Linked DNA regions of Mus musculus. The protein of the gene in region 1 interacts with the protein of each later gene in a biochemical or structural test. Links are inferred from orthologs where the notes say so. Each region holds a gene or a part of one and is shown on either strand. Other genes may lie near its edges.

Evidence for each region.
Region 2: the proteins of Prmt1 (region 1) and Habp4 form a complex in vitro, tested with the Homo sapiens proteins (2 studies listed by BioGRID, with this or other methods). The link is inferred for Mus musculus from reciprocal best matches to the Homo sapiens genes PRMT1 and HABP4.
Region 3: the proteins of Prmt1 (region 1) and Btg2 form a complex in vitro, tested with the Homo sapiens proteins (2 studies listed by BioGRID). The link is inferred for Mus musculus from reciprocal best matches to the Homo sapiens genes PRMT1 and BTG2.
Region 4: of the proteins of Prmt1 (region 1) and Fus, one has a biochemical effect on the other in vitro, tested with the Homo sapiens proteins (3 studies listed by BioGRID). The link is inferred for Mus musculus from reciprocal best matches to the Homo sapiens genes PRMT1 and FUS.
Region 5: of the proteins of Prmt1 (region 1) and Ubap2l, one has a biochemical effect on the other in vitro, tested with the Homo sapiens proteins (2 studies listed by BioGRID, with this or other methods). The link is inferred for Mus musculus from reciprocal best matches to the Homo sapiens genes PRMT1 and UBAP2L.
Region 6: of the proteins of Prmt1 (region 1) and Fbl, one has a biochemical effect on the other in vitro, tested with the Homo sapiens proteins (2 studies listed by BioGRID). The link is inferred for Mus musculus from reciprocal best matches to the Homo sapiens genes PRMT1 and FBL.
Region 7: of the proteins of Prmt1 (region 1) and Khdrbs1, one has a biochemical effect on the other in vitro, tested with the Homo sapiens proteins (2 studies listed by BioGRID). The link is inferred for Mus musculus from reciprocal best matches to the Homo sapiens genes PRMT1 and KHDRBS1.

What each region holds. Positions count from the first base shown.
Region 1 is NC_000073.6:44,976,421-44,979,920, forward strand, and holds the end of Prmt1 (protein arginine N-methyltransferase 1), read right to left. Parts: intron 3,106-3,500; coding exon 2,963-3,105; intron 2,551-2,962; coding exon 2,463-2,550; intron 2,371-2,462; coding exon 2,255-2,370; intron 1,858-2,254; coding exon 1,707-1,857; intron 1,206-1,706; coding exon 1,084-1,205; intron 564-1,083; coding exon 480-563; 3' UTR 335-479; downstream 1-334. UniProt on the Homo sapiens protein: Arginine methyltransferase that methylates (mono and asymmetric dimethylation) the guanidino nitrogens of arginyl residues present in proteins such as ESR1, histone H2, H3 and H4, FMR1, ILF3, HNRNPA1, HNRNPD, NFATC2IP, SUPT5H, TAF15, EWS, HABP4, SERBP1, RBM15, FOXO1, CHTOP, MAP3K5/ASK1, MICU1 and NPRL2.
Region 2 is NC_000079.6:64,160,698-64,164,665, reverse strand, and holds the start of Habp4 (intracellular hyaluronan-binding protein 4), read right to left. Parts: upstream 2,801-3,968; 5' UTR 2,681-2,800; coding exon 2,332-2,680; intron 1-2,331. UniProt on the Homo sapiens protein: Ribosome-binding protein that promotes ribosome hibernation, a process during which ribosomes are stabilized in an inactive state and preserved from proteasomal degradation.
Region 3 is NC_000067.6:134,076,356-134,080,307, forward strand, and holds the start of Btg2 (protein BTG2), read right to left. Parts: upstream 2,801-3,952; 5' UTR 2,699-2,800; coding exon 2,557-2,698; intron 1,349-2,556; coding exon 1,014-1,348; 3' UTR 1-1,013. UniProt on the Homo sapiens protein: Anti-proliferative protein; the function is mediated by association with deadenylase subunits of the CCR4-NOT complex. Activates mRNA deadenylation in a CNOT6 and CNOT7-dependent manner. In vitro can inhibit deadenylase activity of CNOT7 and CNOT8.
Region 4 is NC_000073.6:127,966,031-127,970,278, reverse strand, and holds the start of Fus (RNA-binding protein FUS), read right to left. Parts: upstream 2,801-4,248; 5' UTR 2,715-2,800; coding exon 2,702-2,714; intron 718-2,701; coding exon 693-717; intron 563-692; coding exon 408-562; intron 1-407. UniProt on the Homo sapiens protein: DNA/RNA-binding protein that plays a role in various cellular processes such as transcription regulation, RNA splicing, RNA transport, DNA repair and damage response. Binds to ssRNA containing the consensus sequence 5'-AGGUAA-3'.
Region 5 is NC_000069.6:90,049,716-90,053,845, forward strand, and holds the start of Ubap2l (ubiquitin-associated protein 2-like), read right to left. Parts: upstream 2,801-4,130; 5' UTR 2,740-2,800; exon of another isoform or gene 2,314-2,739; intron 1,979-2,313; exon of another isoform or gene 1,921-1,978; intron 1-1,920. Other genes in the region: 4933434E20Rik (protein C1orf43 homolog), read left to right, coding at 3,339-3,404, 3,793-3,894. UniProt on the Homo sapiens protein: Recruits the ubiquitination machinery to RNA polymerase II for polyubiquitination, removal and degradation, when the transcription-coupled nucleotide excision repair (TC-NER) machinery fails to resolve DNA damage.
Region 6 is NC_000073.6:28,168,394-28,172,547, forward strand, and holds the start of Fbl (rRNA 2'-O-methyltransferase fibrillarin), read left to right. Parts: upstream 1-1,354; 5' UTR 1,355-1,415; coding exon 1,416-1,425; intron 1,426-4,154.
Region 7 is NC_000070.6:129,739,504-129,743,803, forward strand, and holds the start of Khdrbs1 (KH domain-containing, RNA-binding, signal transduction-associated protein 1), read right to left. Parts: upstream 2,801-4,300; 5' UTR 2,658-2,800; coding exon 2,276-2,657; intron 1-2,275. UniProt on the Homo sapiens protein: Recruited and tyrosine phosphorylated by several receptor systems, for example the T-cell, leptin and insulin receptors. Once phosphorylated, functions as an adapter protein in signal transduction cascades by binding to SH2 and SH3 domain-containing proteins.

The DNA.
Region 1 (3,500 bases):
CAAAGAATCTCAGGAAGAGCTGGGCGTGGTGGCGCACGCCTTTAATCCCAGCACTTGGGAGGCAGAGGCAGGCAGATTTCTGAGTTCCAGGTTCCAGGCCAGCCTGGTCTACAGTGAGTTCCAGGGCAGCCAGGGCTACACAGAGAAACCCTGTCTTGAAAAACCAAAACCAAAACCAAAACAACAAAAGAATCTCAGGAAGGTCTGGGAATCCAGCCATGATGGAGCCAGGAATCCTACCTAGCTTGAGGTCCACATCCCTAGAGCAGAAATGGACAGTCCTCAGGGAGTGATAGGCAAAACAGTAGAACTACCCCAGCCCCAGGGCGAGAAGTGGCATGGTCAGCTGAGGATTTATTGGCATAAACGCAACCATATAAAAACATAAGTTATGAAAAACACAGTCACGATGTACCCCCCCATCCCCCAAGCCCATCCCCCCGAGCCCCCTTCTGCAGGAGGGCCAGCCTGGCACCTCCTCAGCGCATCCGGTAGTCGGTGGAACAAGAGAGCTCACACAGCTGACCCTTGAAGTCCAGGTCGATGGTAAAGTCCAAGTCACGCTGCAGGGAAAAGAGGGAAACAGAGCTCAGGTGGGAGACAGAGCCATCAGCCAAGGGCCAGGCAAGAGTGTTGGCAACGTCTGCCAGCCAGCACACTGCACACCCTGCACCCTGACCTACTGACAGCACTATCGGCCATATGCACCCCATGCTCCCCAGCCACAGTCTAAGTTTCTGCCACCGAGGGAACCAGCACCAGCAGCGCTGGAGTGCCAGCACCACTTCAGGGCCCCTGCAAGCATCCTGAAGCCCCCTCCACCCATGGATCAAGAGGGCCAGGGTTAGGTGTTCCTAGCATCACACTGCGCTCTGGCACTTGCCACTCTAACCTGTAACAGGAGCCAGGTGATTTCAGTGCCCACAGGAAGGGTGCTGAACAAGGTTATCACTGAACCCAGCAGCCACATGGGGCTTCCTCGGGTACCCGCTATGCTACCCAAGCTGGCACTGTTCAACTCTACCCAGAACCTGACTTTTCTGCACACCCTCCGTATCATGTTTACTCTCCATCAGGCCTCACATTGTTTTTGGCATTGGGCCTCATTCCAATGGTGCCAAAGATCTCCTCGCCAGTCTTCACTGTTAGGTAGTCCTCCATGTAGAACACAGTCTGCTTCCAGTGTGTGTACGGGGACTCAGGACCTGAAAGGTGGGCATGGTCAGTTCCAGACTTTGCCTGGGTGTCGCCATGCTAAACCTGCCATTGCACCCCCCACAAGGTCACCACCAGCAAGGCTTTGAGGGCTAGTGATCCTGCATCTTGCCTGTGTTTCCTGAGTTACACAGGGATCAGACTCAGTCACTCAATGACTGACAGCAGAGCCTGGTGGAACAGTTCTTCAGTGTCCAGCACTCCCCCTTGTTCTTAACAGGACTAGTGGTAGAACCCAGAACCAGAATACCATAGGCACCCGACCACTGGGCCATGCCCCACCCTCCCAGAGTGACTCAAGGCTCTCTATGGCCCCATTTCAACTCTTCCTTTTTGAGGGTTACCACTAACTTTCTTCAACTTTAGAGCTTTCTGCCCTGTTCCCGAGTAGCTCTATGGCTGTGATAAGCCTCAGGCATGCCCGACGCTGCTCATCACACAGAAACCTCACTGATGATCTCGGCCCCCGCCCAGCCCCACACAGCGCTCACTGGTGGAGAAGCCGGTCCTCTTGTGGCATCGGGTGAACTCGATGTTGAAGTAAGCCACCAGCGCGTGCACGTAGTCGTTCCTCTTCACTTGCAGGCAGAAGGGGGAGGTGAAGGTCAGGTCCTCCACCTTGACTGTGTAGATGTCCACCTCCTGCCAAATGGGTGAGCCCAGTCAGTGCTCAGAGCCCACCCTGCACGAGAACTGCTGCCTGTTAGGCCCCTTCCCATCACAGTAAAACAGCCCCCCCGCCTTCTGAAACGGGGTCTCATGTATCCTGGGCTGGCCCTCAAAACATTTTTCCTTTTAAAAAAAAAAAAACATATTTATTTCATGTATGAGTACACTGTAGCTGTCTTCACACACACCAGAAGAGGGCACCAGATCCCATTACAGATGCTTGTGAGCCACCATGTGGTTGCTGGGAATTGAAGCCATCTCTCAGCACAGGGCATGGCCCTGAAAACTCTGATGTGTGGCCCAACTGCTCTCCCTACAGTTCTAATGGACTGGTCAGGGACTGGGACCCCTGCTATTGCTGCCCAGTTACCTTTATGAGGCAGGCATTGGTGACCAGCTGCTTTGGGTCCACCACGTCCACCAGGGGCTCCTTGATGGCCACGTCTTTAATGCAGGACATATCAAAGCCATACACGTTCTCCCACCCTGGGTACAGACAGGGTCAGATGAGCTGTGGAATCCAGGCCCTGCCCTCGCCACCCATCCTGCCCTCACCACCCACTACAACCCCAGCTCACAGTGGATCTTGTAGTCTTTATATTGTCGGTCCTCAATGGCTGTCACATACAAGGTGGCCCGGTCTGGGAAGATGAGGCCATCGGGTGCCTGAAGGGAGTTGGGTAAAAGCAAGGACCTAGCTGAGTGGTCCAATTGTCCAGCCCACCATCACTTTCCAGAGACCCCTTAGCCACCCAGGCCTCATCCTTTAGTCTGGTCCCTACTCAACAGCCACAGTGCACCCAGAGCCCTGGCAGTTCCATAATTCCTAGGAGCATGGAAACACCCCAGAAGGAGACACCTCCATTTTGTACAGTATCCTCCTGATCCCTTCCCCTTCCCCCCAGTACGCGCTCTCCTGGCGTAAGGACTCTGCACTGGCCTTCTTCAAGTCAGTTCCTCTGCCATTCCTTTGGTCCCTTCTCCCTGGGAAGGCCTCATCCACAGAAACACTTGGTGGCACCCTATTTGCTGCTCTAACTCCTTAGCCTGGGGCGCCCATCCAAGGCGTATGGCTCACCAGCCACTTGTCCCGAGCGTGCAGCACGGTGTTGAGCATGGACTCGTAGAAGAGGCAGTAACCCATCCACTCGCTGATGATGATGTCCACCTTCTCCACGGGCAGCTCCACCTCCTCCACCTTGCCCTTGATGATGGTCACCACTGCACCCACAGGAATGGCATGCCAGTCACGGGGAGGGCTGGCCCAGATGGTTCCAGACACCCACAGAGGACTCTGGTCCAAGGGCAGGCACCCTGTCTCTCTTTTCAAACTGTCTCACTATGTAGTCCTGGAACTTGCTATGTAGACCAGGCTGGCCACAAACCCAGAGATCTGCCTGCCTCTGTCCCCCAGCACTGGGGATAAAAGGTTAAAACACCAGGTCCGTCCTAAAGCACAAGGGTAGCACAGCAACAGTTTCAGGTTCTGTCTGCGGGTCTAGGAGTAGCTCTGCTGCGAGCCCAAGTTTAACATTCTCCAGGTCTGGGTTTGTTTCCTCCCCTAGCAGTGCTCAGGTGAAATACATTTTTCTATTCAGTAAGTGAAGCAGTAAGTA
Region 2 (3,968 bases), on another chromosome or scaffold:
AAATTCATGTACATTTGAAAAAAGAAATCTTGTTACAAAATTCTAACATCAACTTGGTCTCAAAAGTTCGAAGTATAGTAGCTTACAATACCAAGTAGAGTATGTTGCGAAAGAAAGAAAGAAAGAAAGAAAGAAAGAAAGAAAGAAAGAAAGAAAGAAAGAGAGAGAGAGAGAGAGAGAGAGAGAGAGAGCACTGTAGCTGTGTACATGCATGTATACATGTGCAAGTGTGCCTTTGAGTCCAGAAGCCAGAGGGAAACCCTGAGTGTTCACCTCTGAACAGCCCACCTTACTTTCTGAGACAGTGTCTCTCTCTGGAACTGGGGCTCGTGGATTCAGGCAAGAATCTCAGATCCTCACGTTTTCAAGACAAACGTTTTCTGATTGATCTATCTCCCCAGCCCCACACTGTGCTGTCATTACATAAATATATGTATATAAATGCATAGCGTTAATCATAAGAAAAATAAAGGGCCCTTCTGCTAACTTCATTCGGTTTTTTTGAGATTGCTGGAAATTTCAGTAACAAGACCTGGGGGTTCAAGCTCATAGAAGATCACTTGCGCAAAATAAATAAAACCCTGGGTTCATTATAACAAAAAATATTTTTATTTTAACAAGGCTAAAAAGTAACATTTCGGTGCACACCTTTAATCTCAGCATTTGGAAGACAAATCTAGGAATATCTCTGTGGGTTAGGGGAAAGATTGGTCTACAAAGTCCCAGAACAGCACAGAGAAAGCCTTTCTCAAAAACAAAACAAAACAAAACAACCAATCAAACAAACCAACAACACTCTAACAGTAGTAACTGGTACACTTCCAAAGGCTAGTATATCTTCACTTGGTTAAAAAAAAAAAAGTAAATAGTAAAAAAATTTTATTTGATCTTTCTCAATTCCTTCCCTTCCCATTTTCCTAAATACACTTAAGAGAAACTCAATACAAAATATACTGTATGGTGCATTTCCATTTTAAAAGGAGTCCTAAATTTACTGAGGTATCCATCTTCATTAATGATTTTCTGAATCTCAACCAATGTCTCAAATTAACTTCACAGATAAAGGTAAACATTACCTAGCTGTACCAGCGAAAGCCTCAAATGTGAAGCCAGAGGTGGAACGGACAGTTTTCTCAAGTAAGAACTAGGCAATAATGCCCACATGAACATCTGCCTACCTCGTGGTCAAACTACCCTCTAATCTCAATACCCCTTCTTGCCAATCTTAGGGATATAAACTTAATACGGGAAAACCGGGCGTTCATTTGGTGAGAGCTTGGCTGCAAAAGCCTTGACGCAGCTCAGGTGACAGCCACGAAGTCTGAAGCAGCCTCCCACGCAGACAGTACACCCAGCGGAGGGCTGACCCCTTCTGATTAAGCAGAAAGGGTAACTTTGAGCATTCCGCTTGCAAAGGCTAAAGCCGCTTCTAGAAAAAACAGTATTCAATCAATCACAAATAACAAGTCCCACATACACTATTTGTTCCACCTGCAATCGATGTCAGCTAACACCTAGAGGCTACCATATGAGGATGGAGAAAAGAGCTAAGGCGCAGAGGAGCCGGAACCTCAAGCCCACCCCAACTCACCCTGGGCTCAAGTCTGCCTTCCGGGGGCTCCCACACGTAAGGGTACCCAGGCCTCCCAGGATTTCGAGGCCCAGAATCTGGGATCCCTGAAGGTTTCAGCAGTGCATCGCCTACAGAGCTGAGTCCCGCAGAGGCCGGGAGGGAAGATGAAGGATGCAGCCAGCTGCAGATGTGAGAATCCCAGCTGCGCAACTCTCAGGCTGTCAGTCCCAGCTCCTCCACGAAACCAGGAATGTCAGGAGGGTGACCCCGGAAGAGTCATACTATGCCTTTTTGCCCATCAAGAACCTCCAGCTCGGCCCACCCGTAACGGATGGATAGGGACGACCCCCAGCCCCGGAGAGAGGGTGATTCCCAACCCCTCGTGGATTGGGACCCAGGGAGAATGACCAAAGGCCCTCTGTCCACCAAGATTCACGGCTCTGCTCACTGTCCCCCATCTGGGATGAGCCCACCGAGAGTGAAACCCTGACCCTTCCACTGAGATAGGGTGACCAGGGAAAATGACCACCCAGGAGGATGGCCCTGGAGGGTCATGATCCCTCAAAAGTGGCTCCCTAGAGTGATCCCTGGAAACGTGACCCCGAGAGGATTATTATCTTCAAGGGTGGCCCCTGAAAGGATGACCCCGGGTCCTGCGCCCATAAGGACTCCCAGCTCTGATCCGCCCACGCGTCCGGGATCGGTCCCCGCGACTGGAGCTAGCGGCTGCAGGGGTGACCTCGGTGCCCACGGCGTACCTGGCGGCTGCGGGCCCCCAGGGCTGTCTGGCTGCTGTGCGCCGGACGCCGCGAGGCTCTTGCGCTCCTTCTGCGACTCCCTGCGGCCGCCTGCGCCAGGCCTGTGTCCTGAGGCCACAGCCGGGCTCCTGCCGCCACGGTGCCCGGCCCCGCTGGCCGCCGCCGCCGCCTCATCGCGACGCTTGCGCTGCAGCTGCTGCTGGCGCCGGTGCTCGGCCTCCCGCAGGATGTCGAACGGGTCCGACTCGTCGTCCAGCAGCTGATGGAAGCGGTTGGCCACGACGCAGCCGAACGTCTCCTGCATCGCGGCGCCCGCGGCGGCTACAGGGCTCCCCAGGGCCCCCTTCATGACGCCGCCGCTGCGGGCGCCGCGGGCAGCCCAGGCCAGTGAGGTTCAGCGAAGCCGCGGGCGAGGACCCATGCTGCTGCTGCTGCTGCCGCCGCCGCCGCCGCCGCCGCCGCACTCTCGGCCCCGCGGTCGGCTCCTCCCGGCCTGCGCGCCCCAGCCAATGAGCGCTGGTGGACACGCCCTTCGGCCCCGGGGCGCACGAAGACCCAATGGGAGACCGGTGTCTGTGACGTCACGCCCCACTTTATCCCCTCCCACTCTATAGCCTGTGGGCGTGGTGGTATGGGGCTTGGGCGGAGCTACCACCAGAAACTCAGGGAGGCTGCAAGCCTTCTCTCGCCGGTGTGCGCCAGTGGGGAGCCTGGTTGCACACCGCCACACTTCACCAAAATGACCTAGTCAAGAGCCTTTAAGGGCTTGCGTGTCTGGGGGAGAGCTGTAAACTGAGGGAAAGTGCCTAGAGGAGAGGCAGCGTCCTCAGCTGGGTGCTGACCCATTCAAGAAGCCTGGAGAGACTTGCGTTTCAAGAGGTGTGACAGGAACAAGAGACCAAAACAACCCATTCAAGTGCAAAGAAACAACCCCAGACCCACTGTGATGTTGTGATGAGTGCGGGAGCGGACAGGGTGAGGTTTAGATAGCGGTTGTTTTTCTTTTGAGACATTCAGTTAAGGCCTGGCTTCTGGGGAATGAAACTCCAAATTAGATGTCATGCTTGCTGGCGAGTGCCTTTGCTCTCTGAGCCATCACTCTCCTGAAAATTAATTTTGTAAGTTAGCATTCAAAGTAATGGTTCTTATGGTATGTTTGTGTGTTTATATGTGTGTGTATATATACATGTTTATGTCATTACACTTTGTTCAAAACTGTCTCCACATTGCCCTTCTCCATGATGCCATCCCTGCCTGCTGGTTCCCTCCCTATCACAAGCAGTTTTACTTCATAGAACATATGTTTTACTTCATAGAACATGTGAAAGGAATAATTAAATACAGGTGTTAAAAAAGGTCTGAGTTTTACTGTTGTCCAACTTCTCTGTGCAAAGAAATCAAAAGTGATTTTTGTCTCAAATTGTAATTTCCTGGGCTTGCCATTCAGGGACCTCAGGGGTTCTCAGTAAATTGTCAGATGGCTAGAGATTTTAAGATAGGTGGCCACTTCTTTCTTTGAATTAAAGATTAGAGCCTGTATTTTTCTAGCCAAAATTGGAAATAGGTATTCAGATGAAAACTCGTATTATTCTCAGAGGTGCTATTCACAATAGCCGGGAGGAAGAAGCAGTCCAAAT
Region 3 (3,952 bases), on another chromosome or scaffold:
AAATAGGGCCCTCCAGGACCCAACCGCAGGAAAGGGGAAAGAAAAAATGGGGAAGGTTGCTCTTGAAGAGAAGGCAGTAAGAAAGGACTTGGAGTTCCCTGGAGCTTTGAGCCACCTCTCAAAGGAATAGTGGTAGCAGCATTCAGACTGTCGTGTGGTTCCCAAAAGGAAGGACTGGGTCCAAAAGACCTACCCCCATTGGATACTCTTTGGGTCCCAAAATTCCATTGCAAATCATCCCTAAATTATTCACTATCCACCCATACAAAGCAGCACAGAGCAAAGCAAAGGTTTTGTGCAGGTCCTCTCCATCTTAGCCCCAAAGTCTTTGCGCGCCTGCCTTACATCCCACCCTCCAAAAAATGTTTAGACAGATTCCGGGCTGGGAAGCAAGCTCTTCAGGCCCCCAAGGGTAGACTCAGAAACGAGACACGGCTTCAAGAGACTGCTTAGAACAGAAGGGACAGGAGAGGCCTTTCAGTCTGCCCCTGATCTCAGCCGAAAAACAAAAGAGAAGATTAGGCAATGTAGTATTATTTAAGATCAGGCTTGAATGCCCCTGAGTAAGAGAGGGACCAGGCATACAGGCATCCCAGCTGGGACGGTAACCCAGAGCAGACCCTGACCCCTCTCATTCACAGTTGCTAACCTTGCTCCCTTCCACCACCTCCTGGGGGGATCAGCCAAGAATCCCCTTTTACCTTGGCTAGGCCAATCCCCAACCCATTCCCCTAGGCAAACACTGGCTCACAGATGCAATCAAGAACAGTTCTCTCCAAAGGCACCTGGGGAGGCCACTTCCAAGCAGCTCCCTTTAAAGAATTGTTTTTCTTTTTCTTTTTTTTTTAAAAAAAATCTTTTGGTTTTTTTCCTCTTTTCTTAAAAAAAAAAAAAAAAAACATGTATAAATAGCTCTTCATTTTAAAAATACAGTTCCCCAGGTTGAGGTATACGGTGGCCTGTTGTCAGGGCAGCATGAGAACAGTAGAGTGCCAGGGTCGGGTGGCTCCTATCTAGCTGGAGACGGCCATCACATAGTTCTTCGAGGGGCTGCTCCTGCCCAGCATCATCTGGTTCTTGCAGGTGAGGAGCCCATAGGAGGCAGCCACCGGGGCCTCCTCATACAGGACACAGATGGAGCCATCCTCCCCGATGCGGTAAGACACTTCATAGGGATCAACCCACAGGGTCAGCTCACTGGGCAGCAGCCGGTGCAGCTGGGGCTGGCTGAGTCCAATCTGGCTGGCCACCTTGCTGATGATGGGGTCCATCTTGTGGTTGATACGGATACAGCGATAGCCAGAACCTTTGGATGGTTTTTCTGGAAACCAGTGGTGTTTGTAATGATCTGTGGAAAAAAACAAGAGGAAGATGCGCCGTTAGAAAGCATTCTCTGATGTTTACCACAAGGGGAGGATGAGGGGAGAGGGCTGGGGAGGAGACTTCCTCTTCTCAGCGACAGTATTTAAGAGCCTCTCCTTAAACTCCCCCTGCCACTTAGAAAGATTCCTGGGTCCTTTCCAAGTTTTTGTACACTGGAAAGCAGCCCCAGAGCTTTCAGGTAGATGCTCTATGGTGGTCATGGATATTTTTGGCACAATCCTGTTTAAGGCAGGAAGGGCTAGCAAGAACCGGCAGGGCCTCTGACGACCAAGGCACTGAAATTTCAAAGCCGGTAGGTAAGCGGCCAATGTTGTTGGTTGCCCAACAAGTCACAAGGCCTCTCATCCCTTCCGCATCAGAAGAGTTTTGAGATCTTTAGCAAAGGTAAGGGGATAAAAAATGGTTTTGTTTTGATGAAACAGCTGTTGGTCCTCAGATCTGTGCCAACATGTTGAGAGATGGCTATCGCAGCCCAAGGCAACCAACCAGTTATAACAGCTGCGGACAGAGGCTAAAGGGTGGCTTATCACTCCTCCACCTCCGTCCCTCACACCCTGCCTCCATAACACACACACCCCCTCCCCGCCCTCGCAGTTGGCTAGGCTACCAGGCTCTTTTCTGTACTACAATAGGTGGCAGATGGTGAAGAGGGACCAAAAAAGAAAAAATACAAAGGGGGCCCAGATTACAACTTGCAGCGGGTAAACACGCGGCAGAATGGGCCTGTATGATGACAGGCTCAGGACTATACAGCAACAGTGGCTAGGACTCAAGAGTTGTCTAGAAAGTTCAATTGCGCATAAAAGTCGCACAGCTTGGCCTGGCTTCACATCCCCTGAGGGTCTGTTGTTCTCCAAGATTCGGAGATAAGGGTGAGCTCGGACTCTGAATACACACACACACTGACTTTTCTCATGGTGTTGTCAGGGTCTCAGAATGTACTCAAGGAAGAGGGTCGGAGCCTCGGGAGCGAGGCGGGGACTGGAGGGCTGGGAGACGGGGACTTAACCGAAGGGACAGAGGACCATCAGTGGCCTCAGAGATTAATTAGAGAAAGACATCTGAGACCCGGAGTTGTTCGCGTAGGGGTCCCCGTCACAGAACAGTGATAAAGACACCCCAGGCAAGAAGTGGCCGCGCCCGAGTGGTTCCAAGACCCCGACGTGTGCTCACCGGTCAGTGCGTCCTGGAGCGCCCTACTGAAAACCTTGAGTCTCTGCTCGCTCACGCAGCCCCGAGTCCTCAGGAGACTGGAGAGGAAACCCACGGCGGCGGCGATCTCCGGGAGCATGTCGGTTCTCTTCCCGTGGCTCATACCGGTGGCTGAGGAAGTAGCTGTATTAGAACGATGATGACGGTCTGGCCACCTCTCGGGCTCTGCCCGGACTTTCCCCGGGCTGCGCCTTTCATACCACTCGGGGAGGCGGGGAGCCGTCGGTGGCGCCCATTGGCCGACGCTGGCGGATGGGGGCGTGCCCCTCCGGTGTCTCGCCTCTCCCCTCCGCCTGCGCCCGCCCCTCTCCGCCCCGCCCGCCAGCTCGCCCGCGCCTCCCAGGCGCTGAGGTCATCGCTCACTGACGTCATTATTGGGAACAAGCACCGGACTCCCGTGCTGTGGGAGGCAGGCGGGAGAGGGCCTTGGACCTGGGCAGAGGAAGCGCGCTACACCGGGCATGCCCGGACGTCGTCTCTGCACAGCGCCAAAACCCAGGTTGCCTGCTGCCTCCTCCAGGATGCCCTCGCCGATGTTATTTCTCCCATGTCTCCTGACAGACACTGACAGAGCCGTTCACCCCCCTACCTGAACATCTCTGCCACTCATCCCCCCAGCTGATCAAAACGGGTTCCTCGTGTTTTCAGCAATGGGGATTGTATTCTTTTTGCTTCCATAATAATTCCACCTCCCCCAACAAATTCTGCTCTTCCTCTTCTGTAATTGCCTAAAAGTAATCAGCTCTCACTGTTTGGTGGGAGGAGTGTCGAGGAGAGTATTTTCTGTCCGTAGGGTTATTTTTCCAGCACTCACTTTCCTTTAAATGGCAGTGTCTGTGTGTGTGTGTGTGTGTGTGTGTGTGTGTGTGTGTGTGTGTGTGTGTGTGTGTGTGTTTAAGTAATCTGGTGTGAATTGTACAAAGTTTTCCATCAGTTCCCTGCCCCTCCCTCTTCCCTGATTGTTTTCCTTCCTTTTTGTGCACTGAGGCTTTTGTAAACACTAGCTCCCCAGAGGAAAGGCTTCAGGTCTGGCTTGTCTACACGCAGGGGCTCAGGGACTGGTGCCAGGAAGCTAGGCAGACTACTGAGTGGGGCAACTTGTCACCCACATCTCTGAGCCCTGCACAGGATGGGGCCTGAATTTAGCGCCATGGCTTGTGTAAAATCCTGTTTTCCCTGAGTTCTAAGCCAGGCTTCTCTCCCTGTATCCCTGGTCTGAGCCACCAGCTTCCCTACCTGGATCCTCTGTATCCACCCTACCCCATTTCCCTCTTCCCTTTTCTCTCCACTGTCTGTTTTGCTGCTTGTTTTTCTTCAGTGGACTTCCCATCAATACTTCTGTCCCTTTTCCCACATG
Region 4 (4,248 bases), about 83 Mb from region 1:
CTCTGCCTCCCAGAGTGCTGGATAAAGTTGTGTGTGCCACCACTCCTGGCCCTAACTACATTTTAAATGTGCTGATATGGAAAGAAAAATGTTTTGCCCTTGTGAGGTAAAAATGGCACCACCTCTGTGAATCACAGATTGTCAGCCAACTTCAAGAATTCCCAAGCAGACCATTTCCTTCCTATCCGTCATTCTAAACTGGTTCTCTCTTTAGCAAACTTGCTTTTTCACAAAAATAGTAAGCAGGAAGAAAATAGTCCAATATAAAATCAATTACAAATCAGTATTTTTGTTTTAAAAGAATGACTACAAAACTTTAGGGAAAATGTGGGAATTTCGGTATTGTTCAGGTTTAAGAAAAGTTAACATTCATAAAGAAATGAAGATGTGTTCTACTAAGAACTCACTGTTTTGGGTCTGTCCATAAGAAGAACCATAGCTGCTCTGGCCGTATCCTGAAGTGTCAGCTGACTGGCCATAACCACTGTAACTCTGTTGGCCATAGGGCTGACTGCTCTGTTGGGAGTAGCCCTGCCCAGGCTGGGTAGGATAGGCCCCGTAGCTACAAGAAAACAGACCAGTAATCTTCAACTAAAAGAATAAGAACAAAAGCATACAGAAATACATAAAACTCAAGTTAGATCAATCACCCTTGCTGTCTTCTAGCATCAGACCAGAAACAGTATACTCACCTTTGAGTTGCTTGTTGGGTATAGTCTGTAAAAGATGGGAAAGAAAAAGGTCTTAATTTTAGTTAAGAATAGAAATAAATTCTTCAACTTTTGTACTAGGCACTCCAGATGAAACAAATCTACAAAAACAGGCATAAGTTAGTTCCTCATGAGACAAAATGGCCAAGTTTTATTACAAAAAGCAAAGAAAGCACAAATTTCTAGACACCAATAAGTCTTAGACTTTTGTTCTGGGTAGAACCCAGGGCTTGCTTGGGACCCACTAAACAAGCGACCACTAAGCATGACAGCCACAGAGCTCTGTGGGTGGACTGGTTCTCTATCTAGAGGCAGGGTTTCTCTGCATAGAACTCACTCTGTAGACCGGGATGGCCTCCAATTTAATACATACAAAGCTCCATCTGCCTCTGCCTCCCAAATGCTGGGATTAAAGATGCCCCACATCGGACCGGGCGTGGTGGCGCACGCCTTTAATCCCAGCACTTGGGAGGCAGAGGCAGATGGATTTCTGAGTTCGAGGTCAGCCTGATCTACAGAGTGAGTTTCAGGACAGCCAGGGCTACACAGAGAAACCCTGTCTCGAAAAAAAACAACAACAACAAAAAAAAAAAATCCAACATCATGTCCTTTTTGCCTTTTTTCTTTTTTGAGACAGAAGTCTCGATTATGTATCTATCCCAGAATTCAATATGTAGACCACCTCGAACTCACATAGATCTGCCTACTTCTACCTCTTAGTCCTGAAACTAAAGGTGTGTGCCACCAAACCTGGCTCAATCTTTAAAAAAAAAAAAAAAAAAAAAAAAAAACTCAAAATACAGATCATCCCTTAAGTTTAAAAATCCTTTTGACTTGTTGCAGGTCTTTCCAAGGCCTGCAACACACGTCACCACATTTTATATCTTCACAGCAGCTCTGTATACAGGAAAGGTGGTATCACCGGATGTCAAGATTAACTTTGACAGTCAGCGCTATTACACAGTTGAGTTCAAGCCCAAGGAAGCAGCTAGAAGAATGGGACTCTCCAACCCCCAAATGGCATGGTGCTCCCAAGGTTCCCGACGTGTGGCTCCAAATAACTGAGCTCCCGCCTACCATGCGCACCCAAAGCAGACAGCACTTTCAACAATCTGGGAAGCTGTAGCTCAGCAGCTCCCTGCAGGAAACCCAAGCTCTACCCCCGCACTGGGACAAAACTGACAGCGAGAGGGTGTGGCCTCGGAGAGCGACTCCTCTGATTTCCTTCCGGCCTTAGGAAAACTCAACTCTGAAGTGGGAAACTCAGGCCGGGGTCCCTGACTCCGTTGGTCATCCCCTGGCGGTCCTCCCAATCCCACGGACACGCAGGCCAGCCAGGAGCTTCCGCTCCCGCTGCGCGGCCACGGAGGCGGGAAGAGGTGGCCCCGCCCCTTCCCAAGGGACCCAGCGAGCAGGGCGAGGCCAGCACCGGACCACAAGTCTTCCGCCGAGGGTCTCGCGACAAAAAAAAAAAAAAAAAAAAAAAAAAGAAGAAGAAAGAAAGAAAGAAAGAAGAAGAAAGAAAAAAAGAAAAAAGTAAAAAAAACGGACCAACTCCTGGCGGGGGGGAGGGGGGCCGCGGCGAGAAGGGGGAGGGGCCAGAGGAGCGCGTGCGCGCACCAAGTGCCCGGATGCAGCACTGCGACAAAGCGAGGCCGGGAACGGAGGGAGGGGAGGGGGTGGGGCGAAGCTGCGGAGACCCAGAGCTCCCTCACCCCGGTCACCCCACGTCGCCAGGCAGCGTCTCTCTCAACACTCGACTCAAGTGACCGGGCCAGGAGAGAAAACCCACGGTCTCCGCGCCAAAGGCGCCAGGGGAGCCAAACAAAATGGCGACACCGCCCTCCCCTTCCCTCCACCCGCTGCTTCCCGCCAGAGGTGGGGGAGCCCACTCGCCCGCCACCGCAGGCCCAGCCGAAAGCCAAAAGCCTTGCTGCGAGGGAACGAGGCCTCGCAGGGACGCGCCGTCGCCGCCTCGCGCTCCCACATACCGTTTGAAGCCATGTCCGCGCACGCGCGCAGCGCAGGCCGCCAAGCAACAAAGTTCCAGACGACCGCGAAGCGATGCCGCGAGGACTGAGCGGCCCCGCCTCCCGCGCCCGCCTTAAGTACGCCTGCCGCCTACGCGCCACCGGGACGTACCAAGTGGAGAAGCGCGAGGGGGAGGCACGCCCAGGTCCCCACCCTTCCCCGGGGATACGGAGAGCTCAGGAAGACAAGAGGGAAAACGAACTCGCTTTATTCCCAAACACTCGCACGCGCTTTCTCCTTGCGGCCGGTGGCTCTCGTCCGTCGCCCGGGGCTCGCCTTCGACACACCTCTACCCCACTAGAGGCAGAATGGTACGACCCGGCCTCCCGCTAGGGGCGGTGCCAGGGCCCTGCGCCCGAGAGCGGAACTGTGTAGTCAAGGCCTGGAGTCTCCGGGTGTGGGAACCGAAATCCTTCCGACCGGCCCAGCGGCTGGGCCCCACTTTCACTGGGGAAGATGCAGCATACTTTCGCTTGCCCTGGCCTAGCAACTGAGTCGAACGCAGTGTCGCTCTGGTCCTCCACATTCTCTCCTGACAGACAGCACACTGATCAGTCTCGTTTTTCACTTAGGAATGCCTCGGCTTGCTGTTCTTTAGACCTTAACAAGGTTTATAGATTGTGACGTTTAACCTGGAAGAAGATGAGCTTTAGTCTGGACCCTATGGCCCTAAGGCTGGTTCAACAATAACACATATGTATACAACTTAAGAGGCTTCAAACCCACAATTACCCCCCCCCTTTTTTTTTTTAATTTGGCCTCTCAGTACCGCTCAGTTGATCTCGAATCCTTGATCCTATTTGCCTTAGCCCTGTGCATCCTGGAATTACAGTCGTCCTGGTTTTCCCCCATCATCATCTTGTAAAGAAATCTGAGGAATGTAGCTTAATGATAGAGCGATCGTTTAGCCTGTGCATGACCCTGCCTACCTCTCCAGTCCCGGAGCTAGGCAGAGGTGGAGGGGAGATGGATCTTATGAGAGCAGTGAGCGGCTAGACTAAGAATGTGAATGAGGTACGAGGCAGTTCAGGGTCAGACCTTCTGATCTTTAAAGTCTAAGCCTGGGGAACTACAAAATGCTTCTTGGTTACAGGAAATGATTGAAAGCATTTAAAGGCATGAACACTTTTTGTCAGTTCAAGGACAAAACGAAATTCAAGGGGGTTGGAGAGACAGCTGCTCTAGAGAAACCACAGGTTCAATTCCTAGTACCCGAATGTGGGCAAACAACCAACTGTAATTCCAATACCAGGGACTCTGGGATCACAGAGATCAGGTAATTCATTTTGCAATGAGTAGGTTAGGATGGGTCTGAGGGAATGACATTTCTACTGGGAGTTTACCAAGTGGATAAGAACAAAAATGACGGGTTGGAGAGAGGGCTCAGCGATTAAGAGCACTGACTGCTCTTCCGAAGGTCCTGAGTTCAAATCCCAGCAACCACATGGTGGCTCACAACCATCCATAACGAGATCCAGAAGAGGAGAGGGGTCACCCTCTTCTGGAG
Region 5 (4,130 bases), on another chromosome or scaffold:
ACTTTCCTGCTCTACATTTTTTTGTTCACTAACGAAACGTTATACAAGGTAATTCTAGACTGCCCAGCAGACACTGAATTTTGAGGTCAGGAGAGTTCTAAAGAAATATGCAAGGATTAAGTGGAGACATGAACTTCACCCATTTCTTGGATAACACAGAAAAAAAGCTGGCTTTTCACCAAGGAGTGTCAATAGGTTGCACAAGTCTTTGTTTTTGATGTGGTTATTAAGAACAAAGACTTCTACTTCATTCCTCATCGCCAATTTAGGTTTTAACAGGCACAGCACTAATTTTTAACCAGTACCTCTTCCCCAACATACATGTACAAAGACCTGTAAATAGTATAGTATTAGGTCACTTTCCCAAGCTAACATTATAGTTGTTTCAATACTTAATTTACAAAAATACAAGTGTTGTTTAACTAAGTACTGGTGGATCCAAAACAGCAATAGTTGGGGGAGAAGAGCTAGAGGAAAAATTATGTTTTAAAATTAGCTATAAGATAGTCAATCCCAACCTACTCCTGTTCCTGTGGTTTAAAAATGCTATATGGTTTCTATTCCATGTATATGAATTTTTAAGAATTATACCATAAATATAAGCTGTAAGATTAGTTGTATAGATCACTGCACATTTTACAAGTTAGATGTAAATATAGTCATATTGAAAGATATGTAACTAGCCAGAAAAAAAAATCTTTTTAATCAGTCTTGCTTTTAACTTCCATTTCCCTCTTTGGAAATACTTTGAAATGTGTAACTAAGAAAAATTTAACCCCCTCATTAGTAACAATGAGCAACAGGTCAAAAGTAAATAATCTGGGCAAACCACTTAAGGGCACAGAATTAGTACATTTTAGTAGCAAACAAAGATGAATACCTAGAGTTATACAGTGAAAGTGAGTGGCCTTGTTTTGTGAACTCATAGAAAACCTAAGTACTTAAGGGAAGTGGGATGAGAAAGAAGTATTGGAAACCAAGGGAACACTACAGAACAAGTACAGGTTTCAACAAAGAAGTGCCCTTGACTACATTTTGAAAGCCAGCTACTTAAAAAAATAGCCAGAGAAATTTTACTGAAAAAAATAAACAATAAGTATTTATTGAGAATCTACTACTTGTCCAATCCTTCAGGAAATACAAAAGCAGTGTGACTTAGTTGCTGCTCTCAGGGAGCTTACAATCTAATGTGAGAAACAATTCAGACATTCTGAAGTTGGACTGGGATGGGTAAGGCTTACCACTTCTAACAGAGAAACTAATTTTCCTAGACCTGTGTCCCATTCCCCAACCACCTTCAATCTAATAGGAGTCTTCCCAGTTAGAAACACTGGGGAAAGCCAGTACATTTAGCCCTTCCTCACTATTTTACATGACAGCAGTATCTCCCATTCACAACAGAAACAATCACTGGGATGATCTATAATTAAAGACAGTGGTATAGGACCCACAACACAGTCTTATCAACAGATACACATCCAAATATTTTAATCTCTAATGCTGGTTGTCAAACTGACTCATACCCCCCTCCCAGCAAGACACAGCAGATATCCCCAACGCAGAATATGGGAGGTGGAGACAAAAAATAATCTCTCCATTTAGTAGTCAGTGAGTCAAAGGCAAAAACAAATTTAACAAAATCGCCTTTAACTGTTTTTTCTTTCCACAACAACCTACACCAGAGGTTGCTAAATTTTAAGAATCGTGGAAAACAGTCTCTTGTTTGTGACATCACTTTGCAAAACAATTTAGGGGCTGTCCACCAGGTGAAGGGTCTCAAGAAATTTGGAATTCCATTCCCATTATGAGAAAAATGAACAAATGCCCAGTCTAGTGACATCCCTTAGGCGCAACACAATCCACGGGGGCCTCCATGTCCAGCTTCCCAAATAAGATAACTGCTTGGGTAGCCAAAACTACAGTATAGACAACAGGAAGTCAAAGACTGCAGCGAAAATATATTCCACGACCAGGGTCGGTAAGAAAGAAGGCAGGGTAATAAGAGGAGCTGACAAAGAGGCTGGAAATGAACAGAGAGGACAGAAGCCCACGCGCGGAGGATGGGAGACTCACCCCCCTCCGCGCCACATCTAGAGCCCATGGGGCCATTCGCTTCTCTACCTCCCACCCGGAACAAATTAATCCTCCGCACTCCAAACCGAGGGCCACATGGGGGAGTTTGGGGCAGCTCCACCCCATCGCCACCCCCCCTCCGCCCCCAAAACCAGGCCGGATCCGGATCAGAGGCCCAGAGAGGACTGGGGAGGGAGGAGGCCTTCTCCACAAGACACTGACCCTCCTAAACAACCCTACCTCAGGCTGGGCCCAGGCCTCGCTCGCCCGCGCTCTTTCTCGCTCTCCCCCTTCAGGCTCTAGCCACATGCCCCCCCCCTCCGGCTGCCCCAAGCCCCGCCCCGGCCACGCTCCCAAATCGAGGCCCCGGCTCTGGCGCGGCCCAGTAGGCCGCGAACCCAACTATAAACAAAACCCCCGGCGGCCAATTCGAGGTGGGGAGGTTGGACGCCCGGGTTCCCAAGACCAGAAGGGAGGGTGTACAGTGGGGAGACACACGGCGTGGGGGGGGCCTACCGCGGGACAGGAATACGGAGGGGACAGAGGAAAAGAAGGGAGGGTAAAAAGGGGATCGCGGATTTAAAGGGGCCGCGGACAATACCCGGCCCCGCCGCGTTGCCGCTGCCGCCGCCGCCGCCGCCAACGCCGCTGCGCTCCCAACTTTACCTCAGTCTCCTCCACACTGACACCCCGGGCCGCGCCGCCCCTGTCACGTGATATAAGATTCCCTCCTCCCCACCCCCTCCCTCCTTTTCCCTCTCGCGCTCGCTCTCGCGCCTTCCCCCTCCCACTTGCCTTCCTGCGTCCCTCAGCACGTGACGCGAAAGGGCCGCGCACGTCAGCGTGCGCGCGCCTCCCCGCCACGAAACACTGCTCTTGAGTTCCGCGCGCCCGCCCCGCCCCCGCCCCGCCCCGCACGGATCCGCCTCCATCACGTGACTCCAGTAAGGTCTCGGCTTCCTCTTACTGGCGTAGTTCCGCGTCTCCGCACTCCCAGGTACCTTTGCGGACATAAGTCACGTGGCGGAGGGGGTGGGGGTGGGGAAATGGGACGGGAAGGTCCGATGCTTAACTAGCGCCCCCATCCACCATGTTTTCTGACGGACTCTAGCCTGGTTTTTTTTTTTTTTTTTTTTTTAATCGAAAACCATATGGAAATGTTCGGAGAGCTCCAGGGAACCTAGGTTCCCTGGCTTCGGCAGAGCCTGGGCTAACGCGCGAGCGCGGCGGGACTGTCCTAGCAGGTGTTCCCGGAGAGAGAGGCGATGGCGTCTAGTAGTAACTGGCTTTCTGGAGTGAATGTCGTGCTGGTGATGGCGTACGGGAGCCTGGTGAGATCCCCATTCTCTTCCTCTTGTGGCATTTGTCTGAGTCCCGACCCTCTGAGCCGGACTCCTGAAAAGAAGGCTCCTGAGCCGTTCTGTCTTTGTTCTTCAGCCACTTAACTTGTTTTGTTTCTGGACTTCCGAATTGTATCCGTAGACAGTCTGAGATCTTTAAGTCAAAGCTGCCTGGCTCTAAGTAAGAACCCTCCCTCTTAAATTCTAGAGCCCAGATTAACATGCCTCTCCGTTACTAGCCCCTGACCCACCTCCGTCCTTAGCGACCCGGCTTCGCCCCAAAGCATCCAGCTCTGAAGGCCTAAACCCAGGGATTTTGAAAGTGAACATTTTAAAAAATTATTGCTATTACTAAAATGGCTCTAATCTCTTTGGGCAGGTATTCGTACTGCTGTTTATTTTTGTGAAGAGACAAATCATGCGCTTTGCAATGAAATCTAGAAGGGGACCTCATGTTCCTGTAGGACACAATGCCCCCAAGGTAGGTCACTAGAATGCAAGGTAAACCTGTTCTTTGGCACAAGGAGATTTTTCTCGGACTTTAAAAGAAGACTTTTATTCATATGCTTCCTTTCATTCCACAGTCTAAGCAATAACTTCCTGCTCACTGCTGCTCCACAACATGTACCTTAAGATTTAAACCAATTCAGCTGTAAAATGTCTCATCTTCAACTAAAATTACTAAATATTTCATGTTGCTTTAGTTTAAGCATGATG
Region 6 (4,154 bases), about 17 Mb from region 1:
AAAAACCAGTGCTGGATGCTAGGGTGATTTGTCACCCTGGCAACCATCCAGCCCTTCCCTGGCACTTGGCTGCCTTGAATGACTACCATCCAAGCAAACCCCTCTTGGCAGCCAGCTGGTCTACTGTCATGGCAGCCTGGCAGCTCTTGAATGCTCCACAGACACCTCCAGGAAGCTATACTGCATGGACCACCACTTAATGCTAAAAGACAACTCCTGCTCTAGGAGGCACTATCCTGGCCCTGACTATCCCCAAGAGTTTAACATGGACTTTTTGCCATCAGAAGCCTCTATAATCCTTGGCAGCCACTTCACCAAGGCCAGAGGGAAACCATTTCCCCTGGTAACCCAACAAAAAGTCAGCGGTTAGTGCAAATGATCTTTCAGTTGCACGGAAGGCTGTAAGTTCTGGCTATTAGGACGCTTCTTCTGGAGACCGGTCGCTCCTGTGCTGCCTCCTGGTGGTGCAACATTAACACTGGGCCTTCTGCAACAGTTGTTGCTCGACTGATGTGATCTTTATCAGTAGGGTGGGCTGAATTCATGACCTGAAGAGGAGGAACAGAGGCAGAAACAACTGCAAACCAGCAGTGGCCTGGGAGCAGCTGCGACAACATTTGGGTGAGTGAAGATTTCCAGTAAGAGGCCAGGGGTAGAGAGCAGAAGCAGTGAGATGCCTGTTCTTCGCTGTAAAGGAGGGAGCTCTTTGAGCGGAAAAGGAAAAGGAAGGAGAAATAGAAAAGCGAAGTGTACCATAGGAGATCCCGAGTTCCAGCTCAGCCTGGACCCCACTGCAAAACCCTGTCATAAAATACAAACCTCAACAACAAACAGAAACATAAGGCTGTGCTGGAGAGATAGCTCAGCTGTGAAGAGAACATAATGCTCTTGATGAAGACTCAGGTTCGGGTCTCAGCACCTATTTGGCGGCTCACAATTAATTGCCGGTAACTCTAGTTCCAGGGGATCTGACGCCTTCTCCTGACTTCCATGGCGTATGCGTGGTGCACAGACAGACGAATATGCAAGCTAAACACTTCTAAGGATAAAATTTTAAAAATTTAAAGTCTTTGAAAAATAATAAATTTTTAAAAATCGGTATAACCCCTGATTCCTGGAGTGCTAGCATAAGTGAGAGGAAAAGTCGCAGCGCACTTGTGATAAAATTTGCCACTCTAGGAAAAAGTGAGGAGCGTAGAGACACGACAGAGCCGGAAAAGGATTCAGAACTCCCACCCAAGGGGCCGACTCCGACTTCCGGGAGACGGGACGCGCGTCTAAGGGGCGTGGTTACGCGCTTCCGTCACTCGCCGTGCGTCACCGCGCGCAGGCGCTCCTTTCCACGTGCGAAAGCCTGAGACTCGTGGAGTCGGGGACGCCGCAGGTTGCCTGAATCGCGCGACCAGAACGCAGTAATGAAGCCAGGTAAGGACCACGGTGCGGGCAGGAGTCGGGGGCTCTAGGCGCGGCGGGCGGGGACCGCGGCCGCTCGGGGCCGGGGGATGTGGCCGTGAGCTCGGCTCACCGGCCGGCCTACAAGCTTGCCGCCTCAGAGCGGCCGGTGCGGCCCTCCAGACCCTGACCCAGAGTTGGGGCTTGGATCTCCGAGCATTGCTTTAGGGGATCCGACTTGGGTCGCAGATGAAAGGGCCCCTGTCTCCACCCCAAGCCTTCCCTGTTGCCGCCGTCACCCACTGTCACTCCCTGTCAACGATACCTTGGTCCCCAACCCAGCTTCCCCCCGGGTAAATGAGGATCTCCGGCTCCGTGGTGTGCGGCGCTCGCGTGCACAGGCTGGCGCTCGCCGCGCTTCCGGGAGGGGCGGGACCCAAGGCTTGTAGGAGTAGAGGCTCTGGGGACCTGGGAGTCCCTGCTCTGTAGTGAGAGCGACTTTACTAGCCCGGCTATTAGCGGGGTAGGTGATTGGAATTGAGAGGGGTTGGTTTAGGTTTGGATTTTGAGAGCGTCTTGTCACGTGATCCTAGCTGGCCGAGATCCACCAGCCTTTACCTCCAGAGTACGGGGATTAAAGGCGTGCGCCACCACGGCTGGCCTGACAAATGTATCCATCTCACCTATTTCCCGCGTTTTTTTCTGATGAGCCCACTGTATGGTGGATGATGGCGAGAGTTCTGGCTTTGACAATAGAAAGTTCTCGTTTCTCTCTTGAGTTCTTAATGGATAAGTGGTTTTCTTGGTGATAGGTTACTCTGGGCTGTCAATCCTAGCACTCGGAAAGCGGAGACAGTTAGATAATGAGTTTGTAACACCAGTCTGTTCTACATTAGTCGTGATAGCATGAGCTTTTCCTGTTGCCGAAGGATCAGTTTTCACCACTGCAGGTTTTTGTCTGGCGTGGACACACATGTTCCTGTGGACAGATGGAGAGTAAGTCACTGCAGGCGATAGTGACCCATCTCTCCCTCCCAGACATGTTGAATATCTATCTGGGGCTCTGTTCTGGATGTCTGGGGAAGTAAGGTGGAGGGATTGCTAGTCTGGATGTTCTCCTGGCATCCTGTGATTTGTGCTTTCCCCTCAACCTTTCTCCATCACACGATAGAATGAGAATTGTTGAACAGTCGAATCTTCTGTGACAGTTTGTGTCTTGAATACGAAGCAGCTTTGGGGGAGATTGTTTTAAACAGAGGTGTGCTACAAAGTATGGTGGACGATTCTCAACAAGGTCCTTTATTTTCATGTTTGTGTATTGAAATGGCATCTTATTGTAATAGCCTAGGCTAGCCTCAGACTCGGCTTCCCAAGTGGCTGGGTTGCAGGCATGTGATTGCAGCAGTTGCTGGAGTTGCTAGTTTGGAGGTGGGGAGACTTGTAGAGAAAAGCAGATTCTAAAACAGCAGACTGTGTGTGAACATAAAAGTCTTGTTGAGTAGTGAGTCCTTTCGGTTCATTTTCCTCAAAACCCCAGGACCAGAAATGGATCCTGATAACACATTGAGTATTATGTGTCTGAGTTGACCCTGCTATCTACCGGTCGCCATGAGGATGCCAACAGCTTGCCAGATCTCTGTTCTGTCAGGCCCAGGGTTGGAGCTAGTGGCTCTTCTCCTCAGTACTCTTGTGTATACAGTTCCTTGATTTTTCTATCATTCCCATAGACCTTTGCTACTTTAGGGTCTTGAGTAACAGTAGCATAGCCATCCTCCCATATGAGCTACAGGACACCATTCTCTTCTGAATGAAAACAAGTGGTTTCTCTGAGGCAGAATCCAGGGCTGTGGATATGGCTCAGCTGATAAAGTGCTTCCTGGCATTCGGGAGACAATAGCTTTATTCTCCTGTGCTACCTAGGGATAGGTGTGGTGGTGAACATCCATCTTCCTGCCTTCGAGGTGGGGGGGGTCAAAAATTCAGATTGATCAACCATTGCAGCTGGAGACCCTGTCTCAAGGTCATCGGCAGACGTTTGCTGACTGATTGTTGGTGTCAGCATTGGATTGTGCTGAGATGCTGTAACCAGAATAATTACAAAGCCTTTTGTGCATTTGGAACTTGTGGGTGCCAGTGAGACTGACAGTTAAATGTAACGTGACAAGAAGTGGGCTGAGTCTGTACCACTTAGTCAGACACCCAAGTGCGGGAGTGCTGTGCCTGCCTGCGGGAGCTGGGAAGAGGGGCAGCTCGCATGAGATTTCAAAGCCTGCCATTTGCAGATGGGGGACAGCCTGGGTTGATGAATCTCAATTTAGGCTATACATTAAGGTCCTGCAGGGAACTCAAAAAGGAAAAAAAATGCCCTTCTCAGGGAATCGTGGTCAAGAAAAGAATTCTGATTTTGTTGTGGATAGTGAGGTAGGGAGGGTAGAGATGGGGCTTGGGGGTGTCTGAGAGTTTTGAAGCTGAAACTTAACTTAGAACTGGGCGTGGTGGCACACGCCTTTAATCCCAGCACTTGGGAGGCAGAGGCAGGCGGATTTCTGAGTTCTAGGCCAGCGTGGTCTACAGAGTGAGTTCCAGGACAGCTAGGGCTACACAGAGAAACCCTGTCTTTAAAAACCCAAAACAAACAAACAATCAAAAACTTAGTTTGAAATAGATACCAAGTTGCACAGGGTTTTTTGTTTGTTTTTGAATTCTGGGGAGTTGAACTCAGGGCCTGGCCTATTAGAGCTGCAGTGCCCCCCCCCCTCAAG
Region 7 (4,300 bases), on another chromosome or scaffold:
TGCACAGAGTTGATGTTTCTATTCACTGACCACAGGTTTTGTTTACTGTGCTTCAAAGGCCCTTATTTGCTGTTTTCATATTTGACTGGAAAGAAAAGCAGGTCTTTAAGTCATTGTAGATCCGTGACCTTTTTGCATTATACAAACGGTAAATCCCCTTCAACAATGCTGGGAAACAGAGAGCAGATGAAGGGAAAATGGTATATTCCTTTTATTTCTTTTCAGCTTTGTATTTTGAGTACCTGTGTAGGACATAAGATAACATCAGGCCGGTGGTGGTGGTGCATGCCTTTAATCACAGCACTTGGGAGGCAGAGGCCAGCCTGGTCAACAAAATGAGTTCCAGGACAGCCAGGTCTATACAGAGAAACCCTGTCTCGAAAAAACAACAACAACAAAAAAAAACAAAGAAAACAGCCGGGCGTGGTGGTGCACGCCTTTAATCCCAGCACTTGGGAGGCAGAGGCAGGCGGATTTCTGAGTTCGAGGCCAGCCTGGTCTACAAAGTGAGTTCCAGGACAGCCAGGGCTATACAGAGAAACCAAAAAAAAAAAAAAAAAAAAAAAAAAACCACCAAAGAAAACAAAAACAGGATCCCCCAGTACTGAAGTTACAGGTGTCTGAAAGCCTTCTGATGTGGGTGCTGGGAACTGAACCCCTGTGGAAGAGCAGACAGTGCTCTTAAAGGCTGATTTGTCTCTCCATTAGATAGTGCTCTTTCACAATGAACTGTCCACGATATCGTTCTGGCCAGAGTGCAATGCTCTGTGTACTGGACGCTATCAGAGGAGATCTGGGGGCTCTGGAGCATTGCTCTCCAAAGGAGAGGGGGGAGAATTCTGAAGCTCTCAGGCAGTCTTTGATGAAATAACCTTTATTCCTTGTGGCTAGGGTCTAATATACATTTTGGGGTGGGGTGGGATCTAAAAGCAGATGCTTTCTATTGGCTTGGTCGGAGAAGTTAGGGATGCTACATCTGCATGTGGAGGGAGGGCCTTCAGGTGTTGGGGGGGGGGTTTAACACCCCGTGTGACTGACTCATGGGGTGTCTTGGTCAAGTGTTCCAGGTTCAGAGTAGGGTTTCTGAATCCGCTCAACCTTCCCAGTTTTTGTCTGGTGACAAGGTTCCATCAGCCCCTCAACAGTCCAACTATTCAACCAGTAGGACAGACTGTGGGTATTAGATGCTTAATAAAAATTAGATATCAGCCGGGCAGTGGTGGCGCACGCCTTTAATCCCAGCACTCGGGAGGCAGAGGCAGGCGAATTTCTGAGTTCGAGGCCAGCCTGGTCTACAAAGTGAGTTCCAAGACAGCCAGGGCTATACAGAAACCCTGTATCGAAAAACCAAAATCAAAAAAAAAAAAAAATTCGATATCATAAAAAATACTAAAACCATGTCTAACAACAGGCGGCGGTTTGAATAAGGAAAAATATCTAAGTCGCTCAAGTCCGGAGAAGAGAGCTCCATAGTCTACAATCAGAGAACAAAGACTACCATTCTTAAACTATCTCTACTCCAGCAAAAACTAAAACAAAAAGACCAATTTCTCGTTCATCTCACGCAAAAGAACCTGCCTGCCGCCCCTTACCTCCCTCTATCATTTCTTTCTACGGTCTCCTGGGCTATCACAACCCCCCCCCCACACACACACACACTTTTGCATAACTTCAGAAACACATTTCAAAATAAAACAGAGAAACCATCCGGGTCTGCAGCAATTCTTACTCGACAGGCCGAAATGGAAAGCTTGGCTTGAGAAAACCTCAAGCTCACGGATTCTCTCGTCGCCCCGACCTCTAATGAACTTAAACCCGAGTTCCCGCTAAATCCCGCCCCGCTCCGTAGATGCGCTGTGCGGGACCGGCATTCCGGCTATCTCTACCTTACACCCCAGGTCTCCATCACCCGCGATTCCCCCCCCCAAATGTTTCCTCTTTGGGAAAGCGGGGAGAAATAGGTTCATTTCTGTTAAGAGCCGGCCCTTGGCGCGCGGGGCAACTACTACGGGAGGAGAAGGGGGCGGGAGCACGGTACTATCCATCAAGCTCTCCGCGCTCTGAGATCGCGAGTCCTCTTCGGGCCTCGTCCGTGGCTCAGAAATCTTCCCTTACACCCTGAGCCCGGGTGGGACTGTGGGTGCAGAATCTCGAAGGCCAGGTCGAGATGACAACTCTCGATGCCCGGGCTCCGAGGGGGTGGGAGCAAGAACAAAGCGGCGGCCACCCACAGTCAGGACCGGGAGACCCAGAGGACCCGCCAAGAACCGCTTACCTACGGACAGCAGCTGCATGGCGTGAGTGAAGGACGGGTCGAGCGAGTCCTTCTCGGCCATGAGTTCAGGCAGGTACTTATTCTCCGGCTCCATCTTGACCGCGGCTGTGGCTGACGGGGGCAGCAGCGGGGTCGGCGCGGAACCCACCACCGTCGCGTCGGGACCAGGGGTGGAGGGAGGCAGCAGCGGCGGCGGCTGGGTGGCGGGCGAGGCCCGAGCGCCTCCTCTGGGCCCACCTCCCCCTCCCCGGGGCCGGTGAGGAAGCGGCGACGGCCGAGACGGGGTCAGACGCACCGAGGGGTGGGCACCTGACGGGTCCTTGGAGCAGCTGCGGCCCGAGGACCGGGTGAGGCGCGAGGCAGGATCGTCCCGGCGCTGCATCGGGGATGATGGGTGGCGAGCGAACGAGCGAGGAAGCGACGCGGCGGCAGCTGAGGCCCGAGCGGCGGTTGGCGGGGGTGGAAGAACAGGAGCGACAGCGACCGAAGCCGACCCGAGCGACCCAGCGAGAGAGCACCGGAAATGAGGCGGCGCGCGTGCGCAGGCGCCTACCGGCACCGCCCTTGAGTTTCTCCGCGGAGAACAAAGTCCCCAGTTGGACCACGGCGCCTGCGCCGACTGAAGACGTCGCCTCCCCGCTTGGGCTCCGAGCTTAGGGCGCCTGCGCGGGCGCCCGCCGCCTTCCTTCATTTCTTTTTCTTTTCCACGTGACCCGGCGCTAGCGGTACACGTGTCTCCCCTCCCCCTCCCCCGGGCGGAGTGCGCGGAGGGGGCGGGCGCCGTGGAATGTCTTTGTCTGCGCTCGGGCCCGCGGAGTGTGCGGCAGGAGACCTGTTATTCGTGCGCCACGCCTCCTTCAACGGCCGAGCCTGGGGAGGTCCCCGAGGGAGCGGTGCCCCGGAGTGGAATCGGGGGCCGCCCCTCCAACCGGGAAATGAAAAGAACGCTTCTGGAGAGAGGGGGACGCGAGGGTTAGAGCCAAGTGAAGCCGGAAGAGAGGGAAAGACTGCGCGAGCGAACGGGATGGGAAGATGGGGATGCGGGCGGGCGTGGTGGGAGGGAGGAGGCTGACCCAGAGATAAGTGATGAGTGTGCGAAAGGGAAGCCAGGAATGGGGAATGCTGTGTGTTGCAGAACTGAAACTCAGAAGGAGTCGAAGGGGTCAGTCAGAGACGCAAAGACCGGAAGAAAAGGGCTCCCTCCATACCCAAGTAGGGCATCCAGGAAGTCAGTCGGCAAGATTTCCATTAGAGCAGGTTCAAAACTAGTGAGAGAATTATTAAAAGATGCATTTGGGGTCGGGTCAACTGGTAATGCTGCTTATCACCTGTTTTTGGAGTCCCCGGCTTGTTGGCTTGTTCCCCACCCACTCATCCCCGGTAAATTCCAAATTTTCTCTCTCTCTCTCCTTCCAACCCCGCCTACTCAGAAAGCCTCAGAACACAAAAAGGCGCCAAAAAATCCAGTCCTGAATTCCTGACTGTACTAATCCTCATCTTTAGTCACCAGCCACCCAAGCCCCACCCTAGATGACCATACCTGGGCACAAGCCCAGCTTGTGGTAGACTTGTCATTTTCTTCGCCTACAATCTATCAAAAAAGTACCAGCCATACTCTGCCCCCGACCTCTGAGGCTGGTGGACTCACCCGGGAACCCATTTCCAAATAGATATGCCTTTTTAAAAAAAATTATTCTTGAATTAGCTTATTTCGTTGGGGGTGGAGGGGACTATTATCAACCTGAGTTCTAGCCCCAGGCCCAAAATAGGAGAGAACCAGCTCTCCCAAGTTTTCTGACCTCTACTTGCACATAGAGGCCTTCATGTCCAGCCATACTAAGGGGATGAGGTGGTTATGCATCCTAGCGCTGAGGAGGAAAAGCCACAGAATTACCTCATGTTTGAGACAAGTCTGGCCTACATACACAGCACAGCTACAGGCCACCTAGGACAGGCCACCCTGTCCCCCAAAAACAAACTAAGAAGCATCTTATATTAGGTCTCTGACAAACTGCAGTCCTAGCA